Drosophila melanogaster: one gene and its partner. The protein of the gene in region 2 purifies or fractionates together with the protein of the main gene of each other region. This does not show direct contact. Each region holds a gene or a part of one and is shown on either strand. Other genes may lie near its edges.

Region 1 (17,510 bases), on a different chromosome or scaffold from region 2:
GAGCGGGACGCTGCATTAATTAGAACACTGCGGATATGTGCATGTATGTATGGGTTTCAGGATCGAAATTACTTTCTTCGGGGCCATAAAGCGGCTCTTATCTAAATTAGGATGTTGCTTGTTTGCGGCTGTGTCTGCACAACATCGCCGTTTTCACTATTTGCGTAGGTGTTTCATTTCCGTTTCACAATTTATCTGGCGAGTGTGTTTGCCGGCACACTCAGCCGAGTAGCGCACCTTTAGCCGCCTCAAGATTTTCCTCTTTCCCTACTTTCACATGTGATTTTCCCTCGCGGCCTTATCAGTTTTTGGCGCGTCAGCCGTCGTCATCGTGATTCACATTTTTTCCTCCCTGGCCGCCGCTGTTTGCACTCGAAACAGTGACAGTAACCGAAAAATGCACTTTTAAAAGGGCCCCCGTACTCGGGGTTCGAATCGGACGATGCAGTTTGAGAATCGAGGGAATTTGGCGCATTTGGGGTGCGTGCCTTATCGCTGGGGAGCCCATGGGGCTACGACTCTAGATATCGCATAAATCAGAGCCTAGTCGCGCTTTTGCTTGATTATTTCCATTTTATCTATTTGGCTGCGGGTGGCTATAAAGTTTCTGGTTTTTATCTTTGTGCAAACACGGGAAAGCAGTGATATTAAGGCCCTGGCGACCTTATTTCCACCGGCCACCAAGAAAACAGCGAATTCTATTCTTTTAATTAGGAATCCGCAGAAGAGGTGGAACCCCTCAAAGGCAACCCAAACAGAGGAATTTCATTTTAATTTGTAGGGTAAATAGAAAATAGACGCCATCTTTTAAATTATGTAAGAATTTTTTCAAAACCAAAATAGAAGTTAATAAGTGCCACTGTTTGACTTTAATTAATTATTACTTATAATTATTTATTTCTGAACTCCAGTAATCTTATGCAAATATTTAATATAAGAATACATTGTAGTTAAAATAGGTACCACTTTGGCCGATTGTTCCTAATTTGTTTATCCTAATTTCACAGCAAATTTTTTAACCCATGTTTATCCGATCTTAAGTAATTTTCCAAACAAATTATATTTTGGCTCGAATCGCTCCAATCGATATAGTTGATTAGAACCCCGAGAGCCGGTTTTCTCCCACCAAACCAGTTTATGCAACCCCAAACTTTAGCTGGGATTTCGAGAGTGACCACCACCATATTGATCATGCGAAAGAATGTTTTGTTCAGCTCCCGTCCGAAGATACAGATTTCTTCTATCCACTCCTCTCAAAATACCCATGCAACTTAGCACCAGGCTGCTAATTACATATTCGTTGCCTGAAAAATTAACTTTCCAGCGGCGAACATTGTAGCATGCCAGTGGCGACAACGAGACTGCTGCCAGTTTTATAAAGTCCCCGCTGTGTTTTTTATCTACCTATCTGACTATCCGACTATCTAACTATCTAACAATATGTTATGAACTGAGCCTGGGCCCAGAAGCCGCCCATTTCAATGACGAGCGTTGCGTTGCGGCAGCCGAAAAGCTGTCAAATTGTCGAAAAAATTATTGTTATCTTGCTGCGCGTTATTGAGTGGCCGTGTTCACACGCAGCTCCAGCTCAAGATACAGATACAGCTACAAAGATACATTTGTATCTACACATGTCCGTACAAACAATTCAATTAATTGTTGTAGAGCGGAATATGTCACATCGGAGGGATATGGATGGCTAGCTTTGGACTGGGCATATAGTTTTTTTTTTCGGGGGGGCTGTAAGCCCAAACTCTTCGGTAGTTTATTGATTTACAAGCTGGGGCCCCCGTATCGCAGATAGATGCAGGTTTATGGGTGGCGTCCACTTGGGGCTCCAGTAGTACAACCATAACCATAGCTATCACTACAGCTGGAACTGGAACTGGAACCGACTTATCGCAGTGGCGTTGTGATTTTTTGAGTGTCGAAACGCCAAAGCAAATATGATTGGAGTTTTATTTACTCTGGCCCGTCCGATTGGGTCTTAATTACTTCCGAAAACAATGACAACCGATGACCAGTGGCGATACGAGCCCCGTCGCCGAGCATTAATCAATTTACAACGAGATTTAAGCAATGACATCGGTAAATAATAAAATAAATACAATTTGAATACCGGTTTGCCATTTTCTGGCTATCATTCATAAACTTTTGTGCGGCCTGACATGAAAATTAGCTCTTCAGCCAAGGCAGACAGCGCAGCGATCTCCGAGATCTCGTAGATCGGAGATCGCAGATCGGAGTCGTCTAAAGCTGGAACTCCGATCGCTGAAGAGCTCCAGACTCCGGAGTTCGAGTTGGCGATGGAGATGGAGACCTGAAGAGCATGGCTGTTGATCACGGTGATGACTGCGTAAAAACGAAAAGTAAAAACACCAAACTGGCACACAGCTTCGGATGCTTGAGATGTGTTGCCCGTTTGTGTTAATCCCATCAAGACCCAGCACATTATGAAGTAGCAACACCAGCAACAATAGCACCAGCACTACCACAAACATGGAAACAGCACAAACTGGAGCTGCACTGAAAGAAATATAGTTCATTAGAACCACTTAATACTAATACTAAATGTATCTATATTTGAACCATTACCTTACGCCGAAGTAGGATAGCTGCAAATGTATTATGAAAATATAAGAAATAAATAAAAGAACCGAATTTTGAAAAGTTAAATGCATTTTAAAAATTATTTAAATTCAAGGTCATAAATATGTCACATATGTAGACCACACCAGATAGACCCCAATTCTTTTCCGTGTGGAACCCGAAGCTGCGACTGGAGTCCCAAGTTGGAGCTGGAGTTGGAGTTGGAGCTGCATGTGGTGAGTGCTCATGTGCTCCACTGGAGGCTCCATCTCTACATCAACGGCACAAGTGACATAAGTGGCGCTTACCCGATGATGCGTGCGCATCCAACGAGCAGCCAAAAGTCAGTCCAGAGCTCCGCAGCTTGTCTTCATCGTTTTGTAAGAGTCATCTCATCATTTTGCTTGTCGCCATCTGGTTGCGACTTGGTCCGGCTGATAAGAACGTGTTAGGTGTACCATGGAGTTGTTAAATGCAGCACCGCTGCGTCGTGTGTGGTCCATCGATGGCGCTTGATAAGAGAATTTTGGATGCATTCGATCCATGGGTCGTACCGACATACCACGGCATGCGAGCGAGGGCTCTCCCGGTTTTTAGTTTTGGTTTTGGTTTTGGCCCGGTCTACCCATGACGTGACGGGCGGCTGACGTGCCAAGTGCCATCGAAAATGGCAAGTCATTGGCATTTCAACTGGACATGCGGCACCCTTGTTAGCCCGAGCTGTCTCTGACTCTTTGGTTCCAACTCTCTGACTGGGACTCTGCAGGGCATACATATGCTCATATCTGGCAGTGACTGAACATCCTTCGACGCATAACGGGCAGCACAGGATAAAAATCCAACCCCCTGCCCTCCGCCGGATGACGCAGCAATCGGCGAAAGCGTTAATTTAATAATGGCCAAATTTGTGACTGAATGTCGGTTACTATAATTTGGTGCAATATGGGAAATGTGTGGCACCTTTCCGGCACGGGAGGTGTGTTTGTTTTCCCAGTCGCTGCTGCCCATAATTGTTACACTCGGCTGCACCAAAGTCAAAGCTACAAAGTCAATGACATCCAGAGCAAACAGCGCAGAAGTGCCCGGCAAAACTGAAAGTCTTAATCAATCGATAAGTGAAAGGAGGGAAAACTCACGGGAAAACACAAGAAACTAAACCTAAAATCTTTGAATATTAATAGTAACTGAATTAAATAATTCCTTAACAAAGATGTATGTGATATGCAAATATGAAGATGCCTCAAAACGAAAAATAGAAAAGTATATAACGAAAATTTCCCTTTCGCTAAAAATCAAGTGGCACTAAAACACAAAGCCTTTTATGGCCGGCCACAATAATTTGCTGGACAAACAAAGATCCGCCACTTCATAAATAGTTTGCACTTGACAGCTACTGCAGCAGAAGCCGTTGATTTGATTCCTGCCCCGATCCCCAAGTACCCAAACCCCGATCCCCAATATTCCCGAACTGAAGTTGTGGTGTGAAGTTCTTGTGATTCACTCGGTCGGTGCGAAATCAAAGAGATCTCCGCCAGGCGGCGGCCAAAAGCATCATAAAAAGTTGGTACCTTGTGTCCACCAGCAGAGTTCATTGATTTTCTGTTTGGGCGGGCAACTCAACTCAATCAAAAATCCAAAACGAAGCTGAAGAAGAAAACAGGAATCTGGAAACATAAAACCAAACGAAGAACTTGGGAAAACGCGCACGGCGGTGGCACTCTATTAGCACCTCTAAAGCACAATTTACAACAAACATTTACAACTGTCAATTGGCAACAAAGCCGGCCAGCGAAGGGTGCATATGATGGCCAAAGAGGAGATCGGCCAGAAATTAAGGATTACAGGTCACCCGATGCGGCCACAAAGGCACCGCCGGTTTTAGGATTACGATGAGATGGTTTTTCGGGAACTGGCCGCTGACGAATTGCCGGCAATTAGTTAGCATTAAACAACAACTAATGGCATCAACGTGCATCAAGAACCTTTCAATAACACACATATCAGTATGAATGCACACAGGGCACACAATCGTATCTGTCACAGGGCATACATACATACATATAGTACGGTTTAAGAAACGAAATTAATAAAAATTTCACTTGAATTGACAAAGTGCCCGAACGCCGTGACGTTCAACTGACGACAAGTGCCACTTGACAAGCTGCCGAACTTGAAATTTTTTTTCATTTCAATATTTCATTGTTACCCCCGGCAAATACACGGCATATACCCAACATATAGAAGTCTGACTCTTGGTCTGGCTTGATTCGCTCGATGTGTTACCTGTCCGCCAGCCTCGTCCCACAGCTGGCGATTAATCTTGACATTGAGTTGCTTTTGCTGTTGCAGAGACAGATGCAAAGACAATGGCCCACTGGCATATATAAATGCGATTTTCTCGACCAGACACTGTTGACAATAAATAATTTAGCCATCTATAATGGCCCGTTGATGAGTGCTGTTTGGCCAGCGAGGAGGAGGAGACGCTCCCACACTTTTTCCACCGGCGATTGCATGCAAGATTGCGATCATAATCATGGGAGTTCACGTGCAGAGCACGCGGCCGCTGGAGGAAGGACAAGTGGCAAGACTCGAAATCCAGGACATGTAATGGGATGGATGTGCGAGCAAATAGATTCCCAGGCCGTTTGAACTGGTGCTTCACGACAAGTGCGGGTCATCATAATCATCGGCATCATCATCGACATTATTACAATCGACCGCAACTACTTTAATTACACTGTTAGCCGCAGGCCAAACTACACTGGTCAACAAACTCAGGGTGGAAAATCTGAAAGGTGTTATGTAGTAAGTTGGGGTTGGTATTCAGCTTTTTATAATATGTCAATGTACATTTTACTTATTCTGATTTATGATGAGCATAATAAGGGAAATATGTTATAAAACTGCAAAATGATATGATGGGTAATATATGGATCTATTTTTGGAAATATGGATAAAATATTGATATCATTCAGTAGCTTAGTACTTAGTACTTCGCTACTACTATAATTATGGTGAAAGTTAAGAGTATATACTGCTCACTCAAATGAGCAAAAACCTAAGCCATGTATTTCCTTGCAGTCCAGTGTAAGCTGAGGTTAATAACTGTAGCACGCCATGGGCGTGAAAGGTGGGCGTACCCGCTTACCAATTGTAATGCAAAGCGCGCGCGCGTGTGTGGGTGAGTGGAATGGAGTGGAGTAAGGGGATGTGGGGTTCGAACCAGGACCCTCGGGCGTATTGCAAAATTCAGCTTCGCTCGATGGCAGAGCGGAGCGTCTCGCCGCTCAAGTGCGGCTCAATAGCCCGCCGGGCTATTGACAGAAATCAAAACGGTCCAGAATGGGCGGACTCAGTGGGCTAAATGGCAAGCGCTGGCGAGATTTTTTGCTTCCTGCGACGGCCCCTTTTTTTGCAGGCATTTGAGAAGACGGCTTATCGTGGCATCAAAACAAATTCGTTTGAAATTAATTCGGAGATTTGCTTTCATTAGGCCGCTTGCCGGGTGCAAAGTATGTAGCTGCGTTGGCAAACACACAATGGCAAAAGGAGAAACCACCGACACGGCGTGCGGCTAATCCCTAAGCCAAACTTTTGGCTGGTGGAAGGTCGTTTCAGGTCCAAGTTTCGCCGCCCTCCATCCCCCGCCAACACGTGACCCTCAATTGTTACATGCCGTAAACCAACACCCACCCACCCAGGCCATTCGATTGTGTTCCGGAATCGCTTTTCTGGCTGCGTCATCACTTTGAATTTCTGGCGAAGAGCCGTGCATATTGCTCCTAATGCGACAGTTTAATTGCAGGTGAGGCGCATCGGGTCGCGTGCCCAGGGAAGCGCCGCTGATGCAATTAGACAGCCAACGACTTTCCCATTGTCCTGCCGTGACTTCTCCATTGAATCGCCTGTGTGCGGGCGGGCCTCCTGGTGTCGCTTTCCCGGCACAGTAGCTTCTGCCTTCGCCCAGTCCTGCTGTGCGGGTGCAGTGTGGCACACCTGGACGAAACTCTTGTCCGACTCGATGGCGATGGCTTTCTAACAGCTTTCGGTAAGGATGCTGTTGTCTGTGGACGTGTGCTGATTCGAATTAAGTCCTTATCAGGATTTATAAAGAATTTTTATTTGGATATTAATAATACCACTCATAAGCATAGTAATCAATATAATTTACTAACATAGCTTGCTTATAAATCAGTCGAAGACACTTTTCTCTGGGGAAGGCAAGGGTCAATTAACCCATCGTTATTTTGAGAACTTATTCTCAGGGACTCGCCCACAGGACGAAGTAGATCAAAGGCGTACCCCTGCGCCGAAAAGCGCAGACCAGGAACTTGGGTTCTCATTCCATCTGGCCAGAACTGGCCAGAAACTCGAACGCGGACCGAACAACAAAAAAAAGAGAAAAAACTTTCTCACATTACATCACGGACCAGTGAGGACGGCTAAAACAACAAGGACGAGCAACTGAAGCGCTCTAAATGGACACCGAACAACATCGTTTAATATTGATGGCCATTGTTTGAGCGCTTTATGATGGGAAAGTGAGCCCATCTCCGTGCCACTGCCTACGCTTTTCCACCGGACCACGTTGTGTTGGTGTTGCCGGTTCAAGTGAATATTTAATTAAATTGTTTTCTAATAACCACGCGCTACTTTGCTGGACGCAAAACACGCGTCCGCAAGCGGCGAGCGGCGGCAGGACACGCGGCATTCGGACCGATACCGGGACACACCTTGTTGTGCCAACAACATTAGCAGGGGCCTAAATAAAAAAAAGTACGATGAAAACGAGAGCCACCCCTTTTTCGCTGCGTATCCTGGTTCTAATTTTCCAAATTACGCACCATCAATCATCGCCAGCTTTGACGAACGTCGATGGCGAAGTGGATGTGGATATGGTAGATGTTGATGATGACGTTAGATACCACCCCCACCGAATCCAAACTACCTAGACCATCCCAACCAATCCAATCCCATGGCGCAATCACTTGAAGCGAGCAACGCTGCGGCAGCCGCAAGATGAAATTAAATTAAACTTCAAGTGGCCGCAAGGACCTGCTGAATCCTAAAATCCTAGAGTCCTTAACCCGTAACCATGGGAAGCTGTGCCGCTCCGGCTGTTTTCCATCGTAATTAACGCTAATTGCGTTTGGCCATAAGCCGCACTTTTTGACTTCTCCACGTGTTCCTCGGATTGTCCACAGGATTTTCCCACCTTAATCCTTGGCCATGGCTGTGTTTTTGTTATGGATTGACTTTGGCCGACAAAAATATTGGCATTGCATAAATAAGCAGTAGATAATGCTGATCGGAAGTGATTACAGTTTGCGTTTGGCATTTCTTGGGAATCCTGATCCCAGCGAGATTTTAAACCCGAGACCCATCCATCTGGTAATTGAGAATGCACTCCGGCTAATGAAGGCGGTCATCGTGATGGGAAGTGACCAAATTGGCTGGACAGAGTGGTCTCAAGGATTAATATCGCAGTGCAATTAAGAACTCAATCACTGTGACTCGACTCGGGTCTTGTTTGCCTCTCTCTGATTACATTTATGAAATTATTATTGATGTTTGGCACTGACCACCACAGCCCACAGTCCATAAATGGCACACCCCCTCCATCTAGCCCCCATAAGCCACCCCGTTTCTAATTTTGTTGAGTAGCCCTAACTCCAATGGCTTGGACATCGCCTCGGCCGGAATAGACAGGCCATTTTGATTGAAATGCAGACACAAATGCTGGCAGGCGGCCATTAAGCTGCTCCGATCTATACATAAGTATGGTCGTGTAAGTAACCACAGCAGGGGGTATCTTAGCAAGGCTAATTACACATTATACCAAGGATATGGTAGGTATCAATCCATCTTTAAAGTTCGTAGGGAAAAATATAAGTGAAGAGAAATCTTGCTTTAAATGTTTAATATTAGCTACTATAGAGACCGGATTATGTTTTAAATCAAAGGACTATTGTTCCCACCGCGACTGTATGTGCATCCCATATCCTCTCACACTAATCTGTATTATGTACACAGTTGATTTGCCTGCCACTCATGCCACCCAGTCCCCGACCCCATGCGTCCACATCCTCGCCCAGGACTCGCCTACATAAGTAACGCCACATATGATTTCATTCATATGCAGAAGAACTATGCTCCTCCCTTATATCAGGCCGCTCATTGATTTGCAATGCCTAAAATGTTTCAGACTGATGATGGGTCGAACCCTGCCCACATCCCGTGCCCCACATGGCCCAGCAACCATCGCCCATCTACCCATTGCTGTTGCTGTTCCGCTCTGCCTAACTGACAAACATTCCCAAATGCCGAAGTGCGTGTCTTTCGCTTGGTGTGTGTGGTGTGTTTGCCATCGTTTTTGGAAATATTATATGCTCATACCTCCGTTTTCGAGTAAATTGTGTAAATATTTGCGCTCGTAAGTGGATTGGAGATGGATGAGTCTATCAGCAGAGAAGTTGGCGCTGGCAGAGCCGTTGGCATCGCCATCATCATATGCGTACGGGTTGGCCCTGCTGCTCCTCCCTGCCCAGGGCCATTATTTCCAATCCGCACCCGCAGTTCCCCAGTTATCCTCCCTTGTGGAATTTGGATTCGCATTCGCTTGCGCATTTACCTTTCGACTTTCGCCCACAGTCCACTTGCAGCTTGTTGCATTTTATAAAATGGCTACTTGGAAACTCTACAATTTGACAAAGAATTTATTTCCCTATTACATCGAGAGAAACGACTGCACAGCCGAGAATTCATTCGCACACTTAGAGGGACTAACAAAAGGCCATTTACGAGTATATAAACAATTCAGCCTTATTTGGTGGCCTTTTTGTCGGTTTCCTTCTCCGGTTCACTTTCTGTGGTCTCGTCCTCTTCCTCATCATCATCATCGTCTTCATCGCTTTCATCATCGTAGTCTCCATCGGACTCATCTTCATCGTCATCACCCCCGTAGGAGTAGCCCCCACTGGCGGCGCCACCATAATAGCCACTGCCACCGGCTCCATAGTATCCACCGTATCCCTCCTCGTCGTCGCTGTTGCCTCCTTGTTGCTGTCGCCCGAATTTGTGCGACCGCGTGGACATGCTGAGGTCCTTGGTCACCGAGGTATCGTAGTTGCACTTGGGGCATGGAATTGGCTTGTTCTTGTCGTACTTGAAGCCCTTGCGACGCACGTGATCCTCGCAGTAACAGGTCTTGCAGCGCAGGCAGGAGTATTGACCCAGCTTGTTGCACGATTGACACTTGTAGTTCTCCGACTCCAGCACCTGGAACCGAATGGATTGCATTACCAAAAGGCGTCATATGAATCTCAAAATGAAGTTCGGAACAAGCTTAATGAGTATTTTTGGTTACCCACCTGACAGCTGGCCTGGTGCTCGAACTGATCGTCCTCGCACAGGAATCCGTTGCAGAAGGAGCACTTGAAGATGCGCCCACCGTGCTCCCAGACACCGCGTTCGCACTCCAGGCAGGTCGCATTCTGCAGCGGACACGTGCAGGCGTGGTTTTGGAGACACTTGCGTCCGTGGCAAACCCAAGCCTCGCAGAAGTCGCAGATGGCGCCCACCATTCCGAGGCCCGTGGTGTAGACGCCCGGATGTTTGACCACGCAGTCGCCGGTCTTTAGCATGCACTTGATTTTCCCGCACTGGGCGCAAATGGGTAATCTCTGAATGCTCTGGCAGAAATAGCAGAAGGCTCTCGACTTCTGCTTCTTCTCGCACTTGTCGCACTCCATTGGTGCATTGCAGGGCAAATCCGCAAGAGGCACCTCTCTGCTGCGGATCTCCTTGAGGCGAAGCTTCTGCTTCTCGGCCTTCTTACGCTGCCCAGTCTTCTTTTTCGGCATTTTTGAAATCAAGGAATTAGAAAACTTATTTCCTTACGTGTGCGGCAGTGTGGCTGCTGCGGGTGCGCCGAAAAATACCACAAAAAGCTTTCGAATATTCCGCTAAATATGTAGCTACATCTTGAAAATAGCTACAAAAAATGCGTTAAATTAGCATCGTGGAGTTAGCGGCGACGGCGGAGCCGAGTAATTTAACACATCATTTTTCTGGCCAGCGTGCATTTTGGAATATGCTCTGCGAGTGGAGATATTCCTTGAAAAGTAGCTAGCCGATTTTTTTATTGCATATTTTATATACTTTCTGAGTCCTATAAACTTTAGTCGTACATAGATAGTTAGATCTCTTAAATAGTTCGATTTATTAAGATTTTTGCATTTGTATTTTTTTTGGAATTTACCTATAAATAGCGAAAAATTAAATAAATAAATAAGATTCTCATTTTCCATATTTCACCGTTCTGCCATAGACGCTAATTTGACCCACATAGATTTTCAGTGGAAACAAGTGGAAGCAACAACCGATTAGTGTAACCAAATACCTTTGCTTTTATTTAGGTCTAGTATTTTTGTAAGGTCTGTCTACGGCTTTCCTTTCCACAGGAAAATATATTTTCAGTTTTAGGGAAGGGGTGCTACAGTGAGCGTCTTTCGTTCCCAGTGTCGTTATTTCTATAGTATTGCTGAGATATATATCAGAGCAGTAAAGATATTTAAATATAAGTTCTTCGAAATGGGTGGTCACGACAACTGGAACAATGGTCAAAATGAGGAGCAAGATGTAAGTAGCACACAAAACCGCGACTGCACAGGGAAAAAACTCAGTTCGGCCATAATCCCAATATATATATATTTTGGTGATCAACGCGCTTTTACCCATGCGGCAACTAAAGTTGATGTGCTAAAGCATTTCGTTGCGGTTTTGTTACTTAAGACTAAGACTAACAGTAGTTGTATCTTAATAGTGCTAGGGAGTACGATGCTGTCGGTATTGGTTTCTCTTTTAGCTTTTTAGTGCAAAAGGCGTGATCAAGAATACACATGTTACACACATTTTTTAAGGCATGGTGAAAAGAAACAGGGCAGATATTGTAAAAGTATTGTATTGACAAGGGTGTCTGTCAACTTATCGTTATCGTTCTAGGTAGTATCGAATAGGTGCTGGGTTTAATCGGGTTGTAGAAACGGTCACACTGTATTCAGTTTTTTCATTCGTCTCGTGTGTCAGGGGACTTTCTCCATTTGCAATAGCAAAAAAAATAGTTAGATTAGAAGTTGTTCAACTTTTGCATTAGTAAAATGGTGAACTCGAACCAGAACCAGAACGGCAACTCCAATGGCCATGATGATGTAAGTAGTGGATATTAAGGGTCTAGAAATTTCCTGTAAGCTGGTGTCTCGCCTTGCCGGTCGCCATTTTGAAAATTACGCATGTGTCTCAAGGGCGGAAAGTGAGGTTATGGCCATTGATAAAATCAATAATTTAGGACTTTCCTCAGGACTCCATCACCGAGCCGGAGCATATGCGCAAGCTGTTCATCGGTGGCTTGGACTACCGTACCACCGACGAGAACCTAAAGGCTCACTTCGAGAAATGGGGCAACATCGTGGACGTGGTGGTCATGAAGGATCCGCGCACAAAGCGTTCCCGCGGATTCGGATTCATCACCTATTCCCACTCGAGCATGATTGATGAGGCCCAAAAGTCGCGTCCCCACAAGATCGACGGTCGAGTGGTGGAGCCCAAGCGCGCCGTTCCCCGTCAGGACATTGATTCCCCGAATGCCGGAGCCACCGTAAAGAAACTCTTTGTTGGCGCCCTCAAGGACGACCATGATGAGCAGAGCATCCGCGACTACTTCCAGCACTTTGGCAACATCGTCGACATCAACATAGTCATTGACAAGGAGACTGGCAAGAAACGCGGATTCGCCTTCGTCGAGTTCGACGACTACGATCCCGTGGACAAAGTTGTGTGTAAGTACAACGCTTTTCCTAATCTAGACAATATCAAATATCCTTTAAGAATGATTTATCTCTTCGAGAGTAGACTGTTAGGAAAATCACATTGCCATGTTCTTAGATTTATACAATACAGATTGAATTATCTGCACAGGAAACGAATATTAACCCCATTTGTGTACGCGGCGTTCGTGTAGAAAAAAAGTATGACATGCAACCACCCCTAATCTATATGCTCAATCAGCTCTGGCACATTGTAGGGCTTCTCGTAAATGTCCATCAGCGTCGGATAAACGAATGCGCACTATAAGCAAGAAATTTCGATAAAATTGCAATTATTACAATATATCCACAGTCCCAGCTCCGCATAGCAATGTTCGATGTGCTTGTGCGGCGTTTGTGACTGTAAGAATAAATTCCAGCCAGTATTATATCATTGTTGTTGGTGCTCTTCGTGCATCAACGATGAAAGAGTATATGGCACACTATAGCTTGAATCTAAAACTGTTTCCTAATATCACAGTACTGACAAATTAACTGGTTTGAAACCATCACCAGGGTAGTTTTTTTTTAAACGCTGTGAGATGAATTAAAGCGTCGGCTAAGCTATGTTATGCGAATGTAAGCATTGCGCCTATTCAGTGTAACACGCAGCCTCGTTACAATAGTTCAATTAATTGCTATTATGGAAATCGATACACAGTCCCAGCTCCGCATAGCAATGTTCGATGTGCTCATGCGGCGTTTGTGACTGTAAGATAAAAGACCCAGCCCATATTATATCGTGTTGTTGGCGCTGTTCGTGCATCAACGATGAAAGAGTATAAGGCACAATATCACATTGAATTACCAACTATATGAAAAGAATGAGTATCTAAATGCCTTCGCTTACTTGAATATACTGACAAATCCACAGAATGGTGAATGTTATTTAGCGTGAATATATCTCCTAAAATTAGCTACGATTCCACAGTCCCAGCTCCGCACAGCAATGTTCGATGTGCTCGTGCGGCGTTTGTGACTGTTAGAATAAATTCCAGCCAGTATTATATCATTGTTGTTGGTGCTCTTCGTGCATCAACGATGAAAGAGTATAAGGCACACCTTGATTATCGAACCGATTAAACAGAAAGTTTCTAGATCAGCCCCTTCGTGGACGTCACAGTACTGACAAATTGACGGGCTTGAAAAAGTCGCCTGTATGGTTTTTATTTAAACGCTGTGAGATTAATTTAAGCGTCGGCTAAGCTATGTGATGCGAATGTATATTATAAATCAATTCTGTGTAACACGCAGCCTCGTTACAACTGCAAATCAAATGCACCGAAATGGTGAATGTGTACTATCCGATATCGATCCTAATTTTAGCTAAAATTCCACAGTCCCAGCTCCGCATAGCAATGTTCGATGTGCTCGTGCGGCGTTTGTGACTGTAAGATGAAATCCCAGCCAGTATTATATTGTTGTTGTTGGTGGTGTTTGTGCACCAATGATGAAAGAGTATATGGCACACTATCCTCCGGATGCACCACATAGGGAAGTTCATTTTCGAATACCACTAATAGCATGCTTTCCCTCTTTATTTTTGCAGTGCAAAAGCAGCATCAGCTGAATGGCAAAATGGTGGACGTAAAGAAGGCCTTGCCCAAGCAGAATGACCAACAGGGAGGTGGCGGAGGACGCGGTGGTCCGGGTGGTCGTGCCGGTGGAAACCGCGGAAACATGGGCGGTGGAAACTACGGCAACCAGAATGGTGGCGGCAACTGGGTAAGAACTTATTGATCGCCATCAATTCGATTTGAGGCTTATTACTGGTTAATTGGCATTGCAGAACAACGGTGGCAACAACTGGGGCAACAACCGCGGGGGTAACGACAACTGGGGCAACAACAGCTTCGGTGGTGGCGGCGGCGGCGGTGGTGGTTATGGCGGTGGCAACAACAGCTGGGGCAATAACAATCCGTGGGACAATGGCAATGGAGGCGGCAACTTTGGAGGCGGCGGCAACAATTGGAACAATGGTGGCAATGATTTTGGAGGCTACCAGCAGAACTATGGCGGCGGTCCGCAGCGAGGTGGCGGCAACTTCAACAACAATCGCATGCAGCCCTACCAAGGAGGTGGTGGATTCAAAGCAGGTGAGCAACAGCACGTCTGTTGATGCATTACTGATAACAACTAGATAGCAAGACACAGTACCCTGACACCTAACTGTTAGAGCGTCGATAGAGTTTGGCAGTTAGCTTATTAAACGCTGTGAGATCAACTGACGATGGCCTTCGCTATGTTATGCGTATGTAAGATAATCCCAGTACGACGTAACACGCAGCCACGTTACAGTTTTTTCATGAACAGTCACCACCAGTATAGAAACTAGACTAGAAAGACGATTGGATATGTTCCTAACGATCCTGGGTTTTCTTTTAGGCGGTGGCAATCAAGGCAACTATGGCGGAAACAATCAGGGCTTCAATAACGGTGGCAACAACCGCAGATATTGAGAGAGATTCCGGACGAGGTGAGACATCCAAATAACCACTACTAACACAAAAATATACATAGTCCAAGGCGAATTCAGGCCATAACTAACCGCTTATCTATCCCGTATGACCATTAATCTTTCGCTTGATTTGACAAACATATGTTGTGTGTTTTTTTTTTTTTATAATAGCGCCCTTATCGGCATTTTTGGTAGTTTATAAAGCATATTGAGACTAAAAAGCAAAACGGCTGAGACAGTCCGACCCACCTTACTCAACAAACTTATATACGTATTTACACTTTTAAGTATTTAGAGAACAAAAACCCATCAACCAATTAAGAACTCCTTTTCATACCAATTGTTTTAAATAACGTTTCTCATTTATCGACATTTTATAGGTGATAAAGTAAAAGTCGCTCAGTATAATCCCAAAATTCAAAGTCAAGTAAACGATACGCAATTCAATGATCAATATGATGAAGTATGAACGCACGTTCATAGTCCTAAGAAGTTTTCCGAGCACCACAAACCAAACATTACAGATTGATTGATCAGGATCAGTGCAGTGCAGTGAAGTCGTAAGAAGTTTGGTTCAGTCTTGGATTAGAACAGAAAGAGAGATCAGTACCAAGCAAGACCAGACCAATACAGAGTGCAGTGCAGTGCAGAGCAGTGTGTGAGCTAAACAGAAGAAACACAGCAAGTGGCAGTACACGTACACAGAAGGTGACCAGGATTCCATTCAATTTGTCTTTGCAAGCGATGATAAATTGAATGTCAAGAGGCGCATCGAAAACTATCCAATACCCACAGAATTGTAATCTATAATTTGCAACCCATATGTAGCAGCCCATATAAGTAACATTGTAATTAGATCCACAAAGCCGACGACAGGCCAAACATTTGTATCTCCACCACACGAGCAACCAACCAACCAACCTACTTAAAACAACCAGTCATAAACGAATCAGCTATGTAAAACTTCAAGGCGGCAGCCGAGAGATATGTTTCTTTGGTTGCAGACAGCTCTCCAGTCCATCGGCTGCCGGCAACTTTTGATAATCAGAGCAGAAAACACAAAATATATAAAAACATGTATTACATTTTACAACTTTACTAGGCTAAGTTCTCATAGAATTAAATCGAGTAGAGCGTGCGGAGCGACTTCTGCATCCATCCGCACGCTACCCTAGTCTTAATAATTTTACTATTCAAGTTCTAAGCGAACCTGACCGTGTGTGGAGGAATCTAGATACTTAGATTTTTGAATAAGTGTCGACATGGATATAACCTCTTCCGCTGCTTAGATGTAACCGATCAACAAACAACCTTTATTGTAATTTATACCTTTTAGCAAGCAGTCTGTCTGAGGAGTCAGCGCAATTATACTTAACAAAATTTACATTTTAATGTAGCTAAAAAATACAAGATGCAAAAAAAAAAAATAAGCAAGTGTCCCGCAATTGATGTAAACTCTGACGAAAGAACAAAAAGTATATAGCTAAGCCAAAGCCTCGTAGTTTTCTATATTTCTGTAGCAGCATCAGCAAAAGGATCTCGATCAGAATGAGAGTGTATTGCAGAGGTAACAAGGTGCAGCAAGTCTGACCAGGTCCAAAAGCCAGCCAAGAATATGTACTTTACTATAGCATTTGTTGTGGGCGGGCCATTAACGTCGTTCGAGAGTTCTCCTTTCACTCGCTTAACAGGAATCATTTTCCCCTTTTATTTGATTTGCCCCCCGCCTGCTGTACCATGTCATTTACAACCATGTATATTATTGTAATTTCTGTTGCCAGTTGGCTGCGAAAAGTATGCGAAGCGCTGAAAGACTGCCGCCGCGCTACTGAATGCAGCCACGGAAGGTGCCCGCGTTTGCTAGCAACTCCGGTCGCTGGGTTTCGGTTCCCTCTGGGTAAGTAATCCTCCGCAGATCCCAAATCCGGAAAAAGTTGTAACTTTCAGGTGGTCTGAATCGGCTCGTCGCACCTGAGGATGGAATGGATGTTGAACGGTTTCCCCTCTGCACCATCGTAAATATACGACTTTTATTTATTACTTCATTTTATTTTCATTATTACTATCTTTGAATAAAGAAATTTCAGAATACCAAACAAAATGATTTTCGTTTCATTTTGAATTAAAATTTCACCAGTGGGGGAAAATAACGGTATTTGAACAATAATGGCGTTGCGAATGTAACGTGATTGGCGTAAAATCGCAAATTCCGTTTTATATAGTTGAATGATTTTCAAAGCATTCATTTTGTTGCATTTAATGTTAAATTTTAATTAGTCCACTGAAAATAATAAATCATGATAAATGAGCACTGTGTCTGTCACTTTGTTGTTGGTTTGAGTCTTCTCTAAGTGGTGAATAAGTTTTCTGCGATATATTTAAGCGGTCGCAATACGGTCATACTAATTGCATTTCTTTTAGGCAGGGGGCGTTAACTTGCGAATTAATGACTATAACTAACTAAAACACCGACTAAGGACCTCTGAAATGGACTCTACTGCCACTCGCACGCTGCCCTTTGTGTACAAGTATAAAAATCATAAAGGCCAAGACTGCGAATCCCGGCTGGACATCACTTTTCCCTTTGACCAGGAAAA
Region 2 (14,478 bases):
TCAACTTCACATAATTTGTGAGCTTAATAAAATGTTTGATTTAAGCACTTGAAATTCTATATTTCTCATTAACAAAGATTCAGATGGGTTTCTTTAATTGAAAAAGCTATGAGATACAGAACTCTTGCTTTATGACTTCAACTTAATTGAATGCTAGCTCTTTAATTAATTTGTACACAATATCTTTTAATTTAAAATTAAATTTGTTCTTTTCGATGACGCATTTTAAACCATTTCAAAGTTTTCCATTAGCACATCAACAACTTCTAAAGATACCACATAAACAGTTTCCTCTTTTCTTTATTACTTCATCAAAACTTTGGAAGCACTTCTGGCACCCCTTTCACCCATTTGAATTTTGAATTTCCAAGCACTTGGGGTACAACAAACTTTGGGGTCAACAGGCGATGGCGATGACTCTGTGAGTTGCTTGCTCAGCTGGAATGAAAAATTCGAGGCAGACGCCGCGTCGTCGTAGGCAGTTTTTTTATCTGAAGTTTATCGTCTTCACGGACTTGGTCAGTTGGAAATGGGCACCGGCGTCCCAGCTTGAGACCCTGCCCCAATGATCTCTGCCGCTCACGCTGAACGAAGTCTTTTTATAGTTACGACTGCGTTTTGTGTGGGTTTATTTGCTTTAGTAATTATTATAAATAGTTGGGAATTAAAGCCATCCAGCGAAATGAAAGCTGAGAGATGGCGGCGCCCGCAGTGAAACGACTGGCAAGTGGCCAAACGAGACCAATTTCCAAAGCAATTTAGTTTAATTGAATGCAATAATCATAAAAAGTAAGGAGGAGAGCGCCAAGCCAAGATAGTAAATTTGTAATTGAGAAGTAATTGCTTGTCGCACTGAAAGGTAATTTTATTTAATCCACAATGTTGATAGGCGTCCATACTGCCACTTTAAGTGGAAGCTGCAACGTTAAGTGATGGTGCAAAATGCTTTTTAGCCACTTTGACTGTTTCTTTCTTTTCTTTTGTGCTGGCCAATTTGCAATGAAGAAGCACGGCTAGCACCACGACATTGAACGTGACTCAGGGGTAAAAAGCATCTCAGTTATGACACGCGAAATCGGAGCGAAAAAGTTGAGTTGGCAAATTAAATAAGCAATGCGAAATGCGAAGAAGCGGCCAAAAGAACAAAACGCGAAATCATATAAATTATTATAATATCTCCTGCCAGTTTGCTTATTGCCTCAAAGCCCGTTTCAAACAAAAGATACCCGACTGACGCATCATCGCTTGCCTCTAATTAATGGAAATAGATACAGCTAGAGATAGAGCTACAGATATGTAGATACATTGAGCAATGGCAACTCTCAGTCTTGGTCAAATTGCCGCGCCTCATTGAAAACCTTCGCTCTTCGTCTTGGCTTCACTCGGAAATCGAATCGAATCGAATCCAATTCATGTATCAGTACACATATGTATCTATGGGATGCGTAACACGCGCCAGCATTTAACTCTCTATAAATACGAAGTACAGCGATATCGTGCTAAGGTTAAATTTAGTGGATAGCTGCAAATGAATTCGATCGGAAAGCAAGGCTGCTAATGAGCCAAGTCCACTGGAAATACGATTGCCGTAATCATCAGGTTGCAATGCCAGATTCTTTAGAATTTCAAGGGAAGAATCGAGCTCTATACACAAAGTCTTTTAATGACATCATTTTCAGTTGTTAAGCAGTTGGTACCAAAAACTAAAAGCTGTTCGTTGCGAATCTTCAGGAACCTAAGCCAATATTATTGTTAACTATTTAACGTGTTTAGCTAATGATTTGAGGTACTTGAAACTACGAGCTCCACTCCTTAAACTTGATTAAAATCTCTAATAATATTATTCTCGCTTAAAATATCTTTTCTCATCTTTCAATTTGATCGATCTAGTTCCTCACTCCCGCTGCTTATGAAGAGTAGGCCTCTTTATGAGCTTAACCCAATTAATAAATTAAACTTTGTGCGTTCCGAGACACGTGTAAGCGATAACGCTCATCATTCGATAGGCCCTAGGCTTTCCCACACAAACAATCCCCGTAGAGAAAGCATTACTACCTCGGTAACATGAAGTTGGACACGGGATATGATTATGGTGATGGCTGTATCTGACCGCGAGTCCATGTCTGCGGCTTAGTGGATGCAATCTCTCCAAAAACTCTTGAGCGGACAACAAGTGCCGCTCATTAGGCGGACCGCAAACAAGGCGAACCGGTTAATTTAAATAGCCAGAGACGAAGATGAGACCGAAACTGAAGCTAAGCAGACGCAATGATTGATTTACCAGGCACAGTTAGTAAGCTAAACGAACTGAAGTTTACAAGAGACGATTTCCACTGGCCAACCACCGGTGGCGGTTAGGTGGATCCAATCCACAGTTTCAATGACGCTGACAGGCAACAATTTTTATGTGCGCTTCAAGTGCATCCGGAGATTCATTCATTTATCTTCATGGGCTCGATGAAAAGAAGCCACAACGACTTGAACGACGAAAAGAAAAAACAAAATCGCCTCAATGGCCAAATACCCGGTTTTGGTAATTAATGAAAACTCATCAGCCGCAAAATGCGCAGCCAAGTAAATGGAGCGGCTTGAATTGCTGTTGGATTAGCTAAAAGCTAAAAATAATCGACGGCACCACATCAAATTAAGCCCAAAAAGGTAATGCATTATTTGCTATATGGTGGAATCGACTTGAATGCCTGCTTTTCACTTAAGAAAAGCCTACGCTTCATTCGAGTTTTAGAGAGGCTGAAAATTTCTCATTGTTTTAAATTCATTTCCTCTCTGGCTTATTGTCTAATTTCCAGTCGATCTCATTTATGTACAATAATTGCTTAAAGGTGTGTGCGCTTTAATAGATTTTAGATTTGAAGAAAGCGGCTTGTTATAACAAACTTTAAGTACTTTTTTAACTTAGTTGATATTTTAATAAAATTTAACTGTGCTTGATTGGTTAAGCCCATATTTCTCTAGACTAGATCTTTTAATAACAATTCGACTGCTTTATTTCATCCGTTCCCATTTTCACTGTGCTCCACTCAATTTCATGTGCCATGGGCGCAGTTTGTTTAATTAACCAGCCTGCAATTTTCACAATACCTTTTGGCGCTTTTCATTCCGCCAGTTTGCGTTACTGTTGCTGTCGAGTGTGTCTTCTCAAGCGTGTGACCGGAGGTGAAATTTTTATTTCTGATTTTTGGCATTAGACCCGCGAACCACTGCCGCAAAATGCCTAAAAAGTGCTGGCCTGGCTAGCTGGCTGACCAGCTTGCGATGGCGATAAATGTGCGCAGATACGTTACAGGCCGCGTCGCGTCGTCTGGCCGCTTTAAATGGACAACTGGGAGTGGGTCACAGCTGCAGCTGTGGATCTGTAGTGGAGCCTGCGGCTCACCGAGGCAAACGAAGCGATTATAGGGACCCAGACTTGGAACTAAGCCTTCCCCCCGAAACCAGTTCGTCTTCCCAGACAGACTTCGCAGCGATTCTTTCTTTCCTTCGAAGCGTAAATATTTCAATTTATTTATTGGTCATGCGTCTTCGGCATCGTATCGTTTTTCGAACACTTTCTTTATATTCGGCACCCGAATTTCAGAAAGATATAGCAACATATGTCGTGGTGTGATCAGAAACCCACAGTATCTTGGCCTCGGTCTTGGACTTGGACTCACCAGCACGCAAAGCCGTGCCAAAATGTGTGTCAATGGCCTTTGCGGGCCCTTCTTTTCATTTTTATTTGGGGCGGAGATACAAAGTCTGGGGCGTGTCCCAAGCGGATTTTCACTAAACTGAAAATTAAGAGTGAAAACGGTTCGAGTTTCTGTCTTTTTACCCAACCCTGCCATTTTTTTTTTTTTTTTGCAGCACACAAAGCAAAAGAGGTGTGTACGTCGATTCCAACTGCAGACCATGCATGCATGACCCCGCGTATTAGTGTCCCATCCTATGGCCGCCTGATTGTCATGCTAAATGGGTGAAGTGAAACTACGACTGCGATTTCGGACTGTCGAGAGCATTGACCATCTCCCCAAAAGAGCATTGCCTGTTTTTAGCTTTTTCTTCTCCTACTGTCAACTGTCAAACGAAATTTACACGTTTTTCTTTCCAGCTGCAACTCACGAAATAGTCGAGACTTGAACAAAGAAATGGGGAGTGCGTGAGGCTCCTTTAGCTGATTGATTGTTTGGCAAAGTTTGCATGTTAATTGCCTTTATGGTGGCGATAGACGACAAAGCACACTTAAAAGTCTAAAACCCCATTACTGAGTTCATTGGAGTTTTCTTTTTTATCAGTCGTGTCGCCTTCTCATTTTCTACCAATTAACATTACTAGGTTGTGACTCTCACCCTAGCGAAGACAATGGAACTAAAGCAAATATAGTGTAAGCGATTAAAAACAAAGTGAATAAGATATTAATACAATCATTATACTGAACTTCTTTCGTTAGGCCACATATTGTCATTAAAAATTCTTTTTTCATAGTGTTAAGCAATCAAGTCCTCTGGAAGCGGAACGGAAACGGTCGAGGCTGACCCAACAATTCAATTAAGTTGACTCCTCCTGCACATCTGAACGATCGAGCCCGAGTGGAGACAACTTGGTTCCTACCTGCTAGTCCGGCTGGCTGATGCGGATTGAAAACAAAACAAACAGAGCTTAGACAACTCACAACAATGCGGTCGTTGGACGCGCAGGCGCGCAGCAGGGGCCGCTTAATATGCAGCCAGCGTAGCTGGTAAGTCGGAGATGTATACCCATATACCCATACCATATAGCCAGCAGCAGCTGGCGTCTTTCGTTCTTGCTGTCGCTCAACTGATCAACTGGTTTAACAATAAAAACAAAGCTCAGGCGGCGTTGGCGTTGCTTGAACGTTCAACAGAAACGAAAAAGTTACCGTCTTTTTTGTTGCTTCTCTCATGCGCTGCCATCGATTGTCGGGGCTTGGCTTTCTTTGAGGGAAAAAATATACAAACTCACTTAGAAACTATAAAAAATGGCAATTTGTACGCTTTGCCTTTTTCTCCGCTTCTTGCTCAATCGTATGTCTCACACGCGCTTCTAATGTCTGGATACGATACATAAGCTCGTTCAAGATGATGGCATATAAAAAGCTACACGAGTTTTTCAATTGACTTGGAAAGTGGCAAGCGACTGCCAGCATGCATCAAATGGATCGAGCCCCAGCGAAAAGTGGGCGTGATGGGCAACAACAATGGCTCACTGTTTTTTGGCTCTCGGCTTTGCCACACTTTTGATGAATTAGCCGTTTTTTTTCCATCGAGTGTCGGGGCTTGGAAAATTGAGTTGCAGCTGCAGCTTATGATGGAAGTGGTTGGCAGGGAGCGAGGAAGTTCGTTGAGCCGGATCATACCCAGCTGAGACTCATTAAAACACCACTTGAACCACGATTCGTGTTACACCGCCTCTAAGTGCAGGTCAATAAGTGGAGTTGTTGTCTGATTTTCAAGTCCAAGCCAGTTTATGCCTTTGTGCGATGCTATGGGAGAGAAATGGCTGGAAGAGCTTGATTGATGGGGATTCTCAAGCAGGGTAATTGATTTACTTATAAATAAAATAAAAATACTTCCCATACCGGGAATCGAACCCGGGCCTTCTGGGTGAAAGCCAGATATCCTAGCCACTAGACCATATGGGATATGTTCTACTTTCTTCCAAGTTATATAAACGTTTTTGTAGTTTTTCCTTGTTAAAAATGGTGCACGTACTTTATAAGGAATTTTATGCCTTGTTCATTTTTAAATTTATAAATAGAAAATATACAGTGGTGACTTTAAAACATGTCCTAAGAGGCAGACTAAGGACACACTTTAGTCACCTTCCAGACAAGTCCCATATTGTCTAGTGGTTAGGATATCCGGCTCTCACCCGGAAGGCCCGGGTTCGATTCCCGGTATGGGAAACTTTTTTGCCTAATTTCGCTTTTTTTTTATTTGTTACCATCAGAGGGTTAATAATTTTGGGCTTTGTTAAAGGGGTTGACTGACCATTATACAGAGGTGGTCAAAAGTATTTCCACAACGAGCTTTTTTTTTCAATTAGTTGACAATGGTTATTAGTTGACAATTGAAAAAAAAAGCTCGTTGTTCAAATACTTTTGACCACCTCTGTATATGTTTTCATTCCATATCTTAATTTTCTTGTATTAATAGTTTTTCCTGGGTTAAGCAAAATAAACAAATAAACACAAGGCATTCATTCATGTTGGCGAACAAAACGAGTCTTTGCTACAACACAGATAGCCTCCCATATGGTCTAGTGGCTAGGATATCTGGCTTTCACCCAGAAGGCCCGGGTTCGATTCCCGGTATGGGAAGAGTACTTTTTTTTTACTGCTTAAAATAATTGATAATTGATTTTCCACATATATTGAGCAGTCTTCAAGTCTATTGCTTTCGGTAATTGTATGTATTTATGTTTGTTTTTGCTTTTCTAGTGTGCTTTATTTCTTTGCAATTGCCTAGCGCCACCAATTGATGCCAATCGGACACGCTACGAAATAATTCGAGACTTTTTTATGGCCGTTGCTTTTCGTTGCCCCAAGTTGTCAATTGTTGATGTTTGTGCTTATGTAGAAAGAAATAAGAGAAAAGAAAAAGGAGGGAAAACGGTTTTGTTAACGACGGGCAAAAGCTCAAAGAGCCAGAGTACTTAACTTTTGTTAAACCGAAAATTAGGCATGCCCAGAATTGCAACATGTACTGGAAGCAACAGCAACAACGACAATAGCCTGCCGCAAAACGTGTGGCAAGCGAATAGCAGCAACAATAAAACGGGCACAATGCCTTGACTGAGTTTTGAACGTTTTTTTTAGTTTCTTTTTTTTGTAGTAGATACGGAAAATTGCTTTTTCATTGTTGCAGTAACCAATTTTTGGCTGTTATTGTTGTTATTTACAAGCTGACTTGGCAAACGGAAAATCAATTTTTAATTGCAACAAATTTGAGAGAGCTGCGGGACAGGCAAATTGCGAGTTGGCCAAAAAAGGCAAATTAAAGTAAGCGTTAACGAAAAACAATTGGCATTTTGAGTCAGAAACGGGTTTAACGGTATCGCAGAGGCAGCTGCAGTATCTTTTGAGGAAACACGCCGCCACATGTCAAAGGGGGACAGCAACAATATGTCAAAATCTCGATGAGCAGAGCAATGAACCGTTGTAATTAGCATACGTCCGCGTGCGTGCGTGTAACAGAGAGCACAATAGAGGCACTTTCGATTATTGAACTTGTTAAATTCCGCATTTCTCTGTTTGCGCTCGGTGCTTAGATTGTTTATTATTTGGTATTACGCTTATTCTTTTGCTTTGGTTGCTTACCTGGAAATGATCTCTTTCCTTTGGTGCCTAACCGAAAAACAAGCGAACAATTAATTTCATTAGAAGTATCTAACAAATGCGAATCCAACATGAGATATAGTAAAACAAGAAATAAGTGTGAGCAAATAAGATAAGCAACGCCGCGTGGGGAAAGAGAGAGAGAGAGAGCTGTTGGTGAGAGCGAGAACGACGCGAGTTGTTGGCGGAAACTCCTGTCGCAGCAAGCAGCAGCAACAACAACTACAGAACGGCGACAATTACGGCGCTTTATTGATTTTTTACAAAACAACTATTCGAACACGAAGCGTGCCGTTTGCATTTGAAACTCGGTTTTCAGCTTATATCGAGATTATTTAATGCACAACAAAACGGAGCACAAAAGAATTTCGCACACCAGCACAAGTTTTAAGCACTCACACACACACACATACGAAGCGACTTCAATGTCAACTTCACTTTTTGTATTTTTATCTACTGCTTCGCTATTTTTGGTTTTCTTTAGCAGTATTTAGTACTTTGAATTTAGTATTTAACTGCACTTTATTACCCGTCAGTCTGCACGCATCCGTGCGCTCGTTGGTCGAGAAACAAATTATTCAACCGCCACTTTGCTTTTGGCCAAGCGCGCTTTTCCCACAGCTGTTTTACTTAAGCGATAAAACGCAGCGACAACTATCAGTCGCCTGGCTATCGATTTGACCCAGGGAGGGGAGCAACTAGCTCTGCCAATCGAACTGGTTCCGAGCCGAAATTCAAAAATGTCATCGGTAAGATAACGTGTTTAGCTACATCCCTTTGGACATGTTTTCTACATGTTGACTTACATTTTACATTATATTTAATTTTATTAGCTTGGCGGTTAGTTTTGAATATAAATTGAAGGTAAAAAGGTATAGACCAGTTTTTTCTATTCTTGTTTACCAGATGATATATCGCACCACAATTGTTCGCTCTTTTAATGCTCATACTCATAAAATATATTGCTCTTTAATATTATAATATTTTATTCTGCATTTAGGTTCTTAAGTTTCGTATTTTTTTTAGCTTTTTACCGATGCTCAACCCGAATTTCTGTGTCGCCGCCGGAAGCAGTGATTCACATTGGGCTTGACACCCTGACATCGATTGTTCCAAGCCACCCAGGCGGAGAATCCTTGCTGTTTCCTGATGTACTTCGCACAGGCAATGGAATACCGGATATCGTCGCTCAACAGCAGGCGGCAGGGCAAGCGACACAGATCGTTGGATGGACGACCATCCGCCGGCTTGCACCAGTAACGATCGTTGATCTGGAAGAGACCCCAGTCCACGGATCCATCAACGTTCGAGGGATTGATGGCTTTTGTGTTGAACGAGCTCTCGCCCTCCACGAGGCACAGCCAATCGGGTAGCTCGTTGTAAGCCATTCCGTATCGATACAGCTGCCGGGCCAAACTGCATCTGCCCACCTGGCGGCCAGTGGCCAGTGATAGCGTTAAGAGCACCAGCAGCCAAATGGGCCACATCTTCCAGAAACAATGCAGGCTTCTAATGGTAACTCGTGGCTTATATAGCCATCCAGTTTGCTGCGAGATTCGGAGCACAACTTGGCCCAATCTAATTTTTACAAGCACTCATTTGGACAGCTCTGAAGTGTGGCCCACACTCGAGCATAAATTATCAACACTAGGCGACAAAGATTGGAAGTCATAACCATCTCCAATTCTTTTATTTTGTTGGAGCTATTTCGGAAAGGCTATTGCTCTGAGAAATCAGTAGATATATGGTTATTTTAGGGTGTAGAACTAAAACTACAATTCTCTAACTTAACTTAAATCCCAAACATGCAGATGAGTGTCAGACTTTCAATTCTCGATCATTGAAACAGGCCGATCGGGCCAGTTTCGTTAATATATGGAGTGGGAATCGCTCGCCATTTAAGCGAGGCATCTGCCTGGCCCCAGATTCACTTTCAATGGGTTCTTTTGTGCGATGCTCAGGTATTATATAACCATGTTGACAGCTGGAGGGGCCGGAGCACTTGAGATCGCGTGTGCGCCAACAATCGAACAAAAACCCCGAGAGAGCAAAGTCATTCAACTTTTGGACAACTTGTCGTTCTTTCTTTGTTTTTGTTTAACGTAAAAAATTAGTACAAAAATATGCAATAAAAATGGCATGTGTTGATACTATGTTTATCCCAAACGAATCTCCTCCATTTCCTGAGCGGGCGGCTGCTTGATCTCCTGTTCCGTTGGCGGCACATATCCCTGTCTCGGCAGGAATTGCCTCTTCCTGGATGTGGGACGTATAACGATGTGTGCTACGCATGTGCAAATGGCGGCTATGGCAAAGTATTTGAAGCTCTCTCGTCCGCCCAGGCTTTTGAACATAAGTCCGCCGATTAGGGATCCGATGGAGAAGCCAAGTCCATCGTCCATGCCGGCCATCAATCCTTGAACGGTGGCCGATGTTCCCGGAGGAGCCACCGCCGAGGCGTAGGCCACAATGCACGTATAGCACAGAGCATAGGTAATGCCCTGGAAAAAGAGCTCCACGCCCACCAGATACCAGGGATTGGGAATCCAGGCGATCAGCGACAGTCGCACAGCGTAGAAGAAAAAGCACATGCTCATGCAATGAACATAGCCCAGTTTTTTGATAATCTTTCCGCTGTAGAAGAAAAAGGGCACCTCGCCGGCCAGACACTCGGCGGCCACCACTAGACCTTCGATCAACTTGATCTGATGCATGTAACCAGTGGCCTCGGCCACCTGCTCCAAGTGCCAGAACATAAAGTATATGATGAAGGAGTCAATGATGCCAGCCATTGTGGCGAAGAACAGAAAGACCAGAATGGGTGGCTTGCGCACCAATTGCCAAACATCGCTCCAGATGGACTCGGAACCACCCAGTTTCGGCAGCTTCAGCTTGGACACACTGAACAGATCGAGCAAACTGAACACGCACATGATGATCAAGGCAGGCGTCAGACTTTTGACCGCATCCGTGGTCCACCAGTTCACTACGATTCCGGCTAGCATGGCAGTGGCTCCAAAACCAATGGTGCCCCACACTCGTTGTGCTCCGTACTTTTCCTGCTCCTCATCGCCCAGAAGGTCAAAGCAACAGGCATCGGATATGGAGTTTGTCACGTTGAAGCCAACGATTCCAATGCAGAGCAGGCATACGAACAGCCAGAACTTGCCAGCACCATAGATGCAGCTATTTACGTGTCGCACCTCGCAGGATGCACTGTTCCAATCGATGGCTGCTGGTTGCGTGAGACAGATGTGATAACTCTCGTTGCCATGAAGCAGATTCTGGTTGAGATTGAGGCCCGACTCGTTGGCAACAATTAGAGCGGAGAATTCGCCTACTTCCTTTTCTTCCTGAATGCATTTTGCCTGATGAGTGGTTTGACAAAATGCGTTGGAGGATTGGATAATGGTATTGCAATCGTTTGGATTCGTCAATAACGTTACATTCCATTGGGCACTTCCCTCGTCCAATGGAATGAAATGTGAGTTGTCGGGCAGGAAATAGAAGCCGGCGAAGGCCAGTGTCATGATGAGGATAAGGGAGATGAAGATGAACTTGCGCAGGCTCTGCAACAAAGATTATAGTTTAGTATTTATATTAATAGTTACTAGGCATATCAAGCTCACCGTGAAATAATCGGCTAGGAAACCCACCAAGGGTTTGGCTAAAACATAAAGTAGGGGCAAGGCGGCCGTAATATAGCCCATAACATCCGGTGGAACACCGATCTGCTTGCCGATCACCGACAATTGTGGCAATATGGGTCCCATGGCTAAAAGTTGACAATGTGCACATGAGTTTATAAACTACAATAATTTCCAAGAAATCTTTCTATAATTGCAGCAGATTCTCACATCATATATTCGATAATGTCAGCGATAAGAACATTTTGATACGAAAGAATCTCACGAAGTGCGAAATCGGCTTTAATTTTGGATTGTTAAGTTATAACTTTACACTCACCCGCCATGAAAAAGAAGAAATGTGCCTTGATGGGCAGCAGGCGCCTGTTTAATCGCACCATTGTGCAGTCTGTAAAATTATGGCTAGTGTATCACAGTTCGGATATATCCATGCAATCCTCTGGTTATGCCGGGTGAGATGTGGTTCCTACCCAGATAAGATCATAATTTTTCGCACGTCTTCGACTTCGCCGTTCGACGTTCTTAGGGAATCTGTCGTCTGGTGGATAGAGTGTTTAAATAGTCACAGCGATATGGATGTAAATCAGAGAATGCTAAACTATATCTAATCACATCGCGATAAGATGCTAGTCCAGACTATATAGCAGTCTGTAATCGTCTGCATAAAAGTTCTATTGAGATAGCCAAAGGGAGGGAGCATAACACTCCGGAACAACGAATCTTATCTTTTCGCACCAAAGTCGTTAGATTTTGTTGGAAAATTAAGACCGTATGTGCGATAAAGATTTTAGGGCCTGCCATAATAAATATGCCCTTGAGGCATGTCCAAGATTCCCCCCCCCCCCCCACTTGTACCAACCAACTCAATTAGTAATTTTCATATAACTTGCGATATTTTTTTTATACTTTGTAGATAAAAACCGGTTTGCGGTACCAAATCACTTGTTAACTTGACACAGAAAAAAATTGCTCTTTTGCCAAAGCCGAAATAACTTTCGTAGATTGATCATTAATCAAACACAATTTAGAAATCCCTAGAAATAACAGGGGAGTTACGAGAAGAAAAAAAAAACCCAAGGTGCGTGAATGATGCTAACTCAAGTTATAACCGGGAAGCCATAGAAATGCTTCACTTGACTACGTTAAGTTGTGATGAGCAAATGCTTTGAATACAATGAAATTGCACGAAACGTGTATAGTGCATATAGTGTTAATTAAGTATATTGATTATCTGTCGAGCAATTAGGTTCACGCGATTAAAATCCACCCACAAGTGACGATTTCCCAGAGATCAAGTTGAGTATATGGACGCCAAGAGCTGCGGTCAGAGACTGAGGCAAGCAAATAATGCCGAAAGGCATGCAGTTCGCATGGAAACTGATAAGTCAAGTTGGCCGATAAGGCGTTCGTTAATCATATGTTTGGTATATACAAACATAATTGATAAAGCGCTGGACTGGACAGCTGCTTAATGTATAGATAGGATTAATGTTTTTTTTTTTATATAGGTGATCCCCGCTTAGATTCTCACGCAAAAAGATACTAATCAATCAGAGAGCTATCCAAAAAACCCCGCCTGACTCATCATCAGCTGTGCGTAGCTGCTTTGTATTCCATTTATTATTTATTTACTGGCGATCTCGTTCTGCAGCCGGAGCTTACGGATTGCTCGGATCAGGTTTTACTCGCTGGCATCTGGGAGAGGGCTGCCTTCAGTTGCCGTCGATCTTCCAATGCGAGCGGTTCGGGCTTGAAGCCAACTAGTCATTGATTAACTAACCTAATCTCGACTGTTAGACGATCTTCAGTGAGTGAATTGACAATTAACAAGCAGTTGACGCAATCGAAGCTCAGAATGCAGTGGCTTACACTTATTTTGGTGGGGCTGTTTGCCTCGTTCTTATCAATATCGATGTGCGTGGCTGTGCAGCCGCCCGATGATGGAAAATGTAAGTCAATCAAAGATGAGGGGCGTATTGCCTTGTGTCTGGAAATATATTAATAAAAAGCATGCAAACTGCGTAAATTAGTAGACGAACTGTTGGCGATAAGTGATACATGAGCTTGTGATTGTAATTAAGATGTATCTTAATCATAAGCAAGTCTAAAGTTGCACTTAATATGTTAATTTTGAACATGCAACTAAATTCTGCTGAAGTTATGTTTGTTTACCAATCATTTAAGCCATTAAACTATGAAATATGATGCTGTAAAGGCCGACAGCAGCTGTTTACATTTCAAATATATATGATAACTTCTCAAGCAACAATGTTAGTCAATCTAAAAAGTGGTCGAGAGTAAAACTAAACTTTTTATTACAATTCCTACACATAAAAACCGTTTCAAAAACCACCAATCATCATGTATCTTTTAATCGAAATGCACTGCGAGAGAGCAGACGACCTTGCCACTCCACCGGGTGTAATCAAAATCCGCTAGAGACAGCCGTTCCAAAACCTGTCCCGACCTTGGAGCTCGTGATCCACTGCCCAAAAAGCGTCCGGGCAGAACTGACTTGTACCCAGTTTTGCACCATTAAGCGAATTCTGCGAATGCAGCGCACTTAATCAGGTTTTCCCCGACAACTGCGTTACCTGAGGGGAATTTTTAATTTAAAACAGACAAGTGAAATACCCAGCTCAAAGATAATATCTTTTCCGAAAAACTGCATGCGAAAGATACTTCAAAATAAACAAAATCATTATTAATGCGGCGGCTAGCGACTGGTTTTTCGCCGATCGTATACTAAGCAGATGTCCAAACTTTATGCAAAGATTTACTTGCTTCTCCTCCTCCTTCCGCAGTGCGTGTTTGTGTGGTGGAATCGCGTGGCGTTTATCGGAAAACCCCCAAGTTCTGTCCGCTGCTGGAGGCGAAGAGCAACATCGAGTGCGTCATCGGCGTGGATCGATTGGATTGCGTGAGGCGTATCCACAAGGGCACCGCCCACTTTGGAGTGCTCACCTCGGAGGATCTGGTGGCCGCACGCTGGGCCAGCGTTGAGATCCTGGTGGCCAGCGAGTTGCGCTCCCATGAGTCGCACTTTGAGTACGAAATTGTGGCGGTGGTGGACAACCACGCCAATATCCATACTGTTCATGATCTTCGAGGTGCAAGGCTGTGCCATCCTGGCTACGGTCTGGGCAATCACTGGACGGAGGTCCTGGCTAATGTAGGTCACCTCAATGGATATCTTATAAAAGTACTCCAATTTTGATTGTATATACGACTTCTTTACAGTACTTTGAAGCTGCCATGGTCTCGAAGACTTGTGATCCCGAAATGACCGTCACGGAGGATCGGATAGCATCCACAGCCAAGTACTTTGGTCCCAGTTGCAAGGCTGGTCCTTGGGTGCCCGATCCCAAGCAGGATCGCATCCTAAAGAACCGATATCCCTCGCTGTGCGAGATGTGCTACGAACCGGATAGCTGTGACCAGACCGACAAGCATTGGGGACGCCGCGGAGCTCTCTAT

The links.
Region 1: the proteins of mrj (region 2) and Hrb98DE purify together in Drosophila melanogaster (affinity purification with western blotting, with the first as the bait; one study listed by BioGRID). This does not show direct contact.

The regions. Positions count from the first base shown.
Region 1 is NT_033777.3:28,588,768-28,606,277, forward strand, and holds Hrb98DE (heterogeneous nuclear ribonucleoprotein at 98DE), read left to right. Parts: upstream 1-11,639; 5' UTR 11,640-11,750; coding exon 11,751-11,801; intron 11,802-11,938; coding exon 11,939-12,428; intron 12,429-12,761; exon of another isoform or gene 12,762-12,901; intron 12,902-12,930; exon of another isoform or gene 12,931-13,080; intron 13,081-13,109; exon of another isoform or gene 13,110-13,249; intron 13,250-13,379; exon of another isoform or gene 13,380-13,519; intron 13,520-13,572; exon of another isoform or gene 13,573-13,722; intron 13,723-13,788; exon of another isoform or gene 13,789-13,928; intron 13,929-14,004; coding exon 14,005-14,180; intron 14,181-14,244; coding exon 14,245-14,551; intron 14,552-14,603; exon of another isoform or gene 14,604-14,755; intron 14,756-14,840; coding exon 14,841-14,914; 3' UTR 14,915-14,931; intron 14,932-15,293; exon of another isoform or gene 15,294-16,328; intron 16,329-16,694; 3' UTR 16,695-17,010; downstream 17,011-17,510. Other genes in the region: Noa36, read right to left, coding at 9,415-9,870, 9,963-10,454; CG9986 (uncharacterized protein), read left to right, coding at 17,401-17,510. UniProt on the Drosophila melanogaster protein: This protein is a component of ribonucleosomes.
Region 2 is NT_033778.4:16,213,787-16,228,264, forward strand, and holds the start of mrj (mrj), read right to left. Parts: upstream 8,008-14,478; 5' UTR 7,884-8,007; exon of another isoform or gene 7,850-7,883; intron 7,364-7,849; 5' UTR 7,337-7,363; intron 6,338-7,336; exon of another isoform or gene 6,266-6,337; intron 5,924-6,265; exon of another isoform or gene 5,852-5,923; intron 5,660-5,851; exon of another isoform or gene 5,588-5,659; intron 1-5,587. Other genes in the region: CG7798 (uncharacterized protein), read right to left, coding at 8,395-8,841; CG15706 (uncharacterized protein), read right to left, coding at 9,511-10,923, 10,984-11,129, 11,321-11,381; Tsf3 (transferrin 3), read left to right, coding at 12,857-12,950, 13,806-14,173, 14,242-14,478.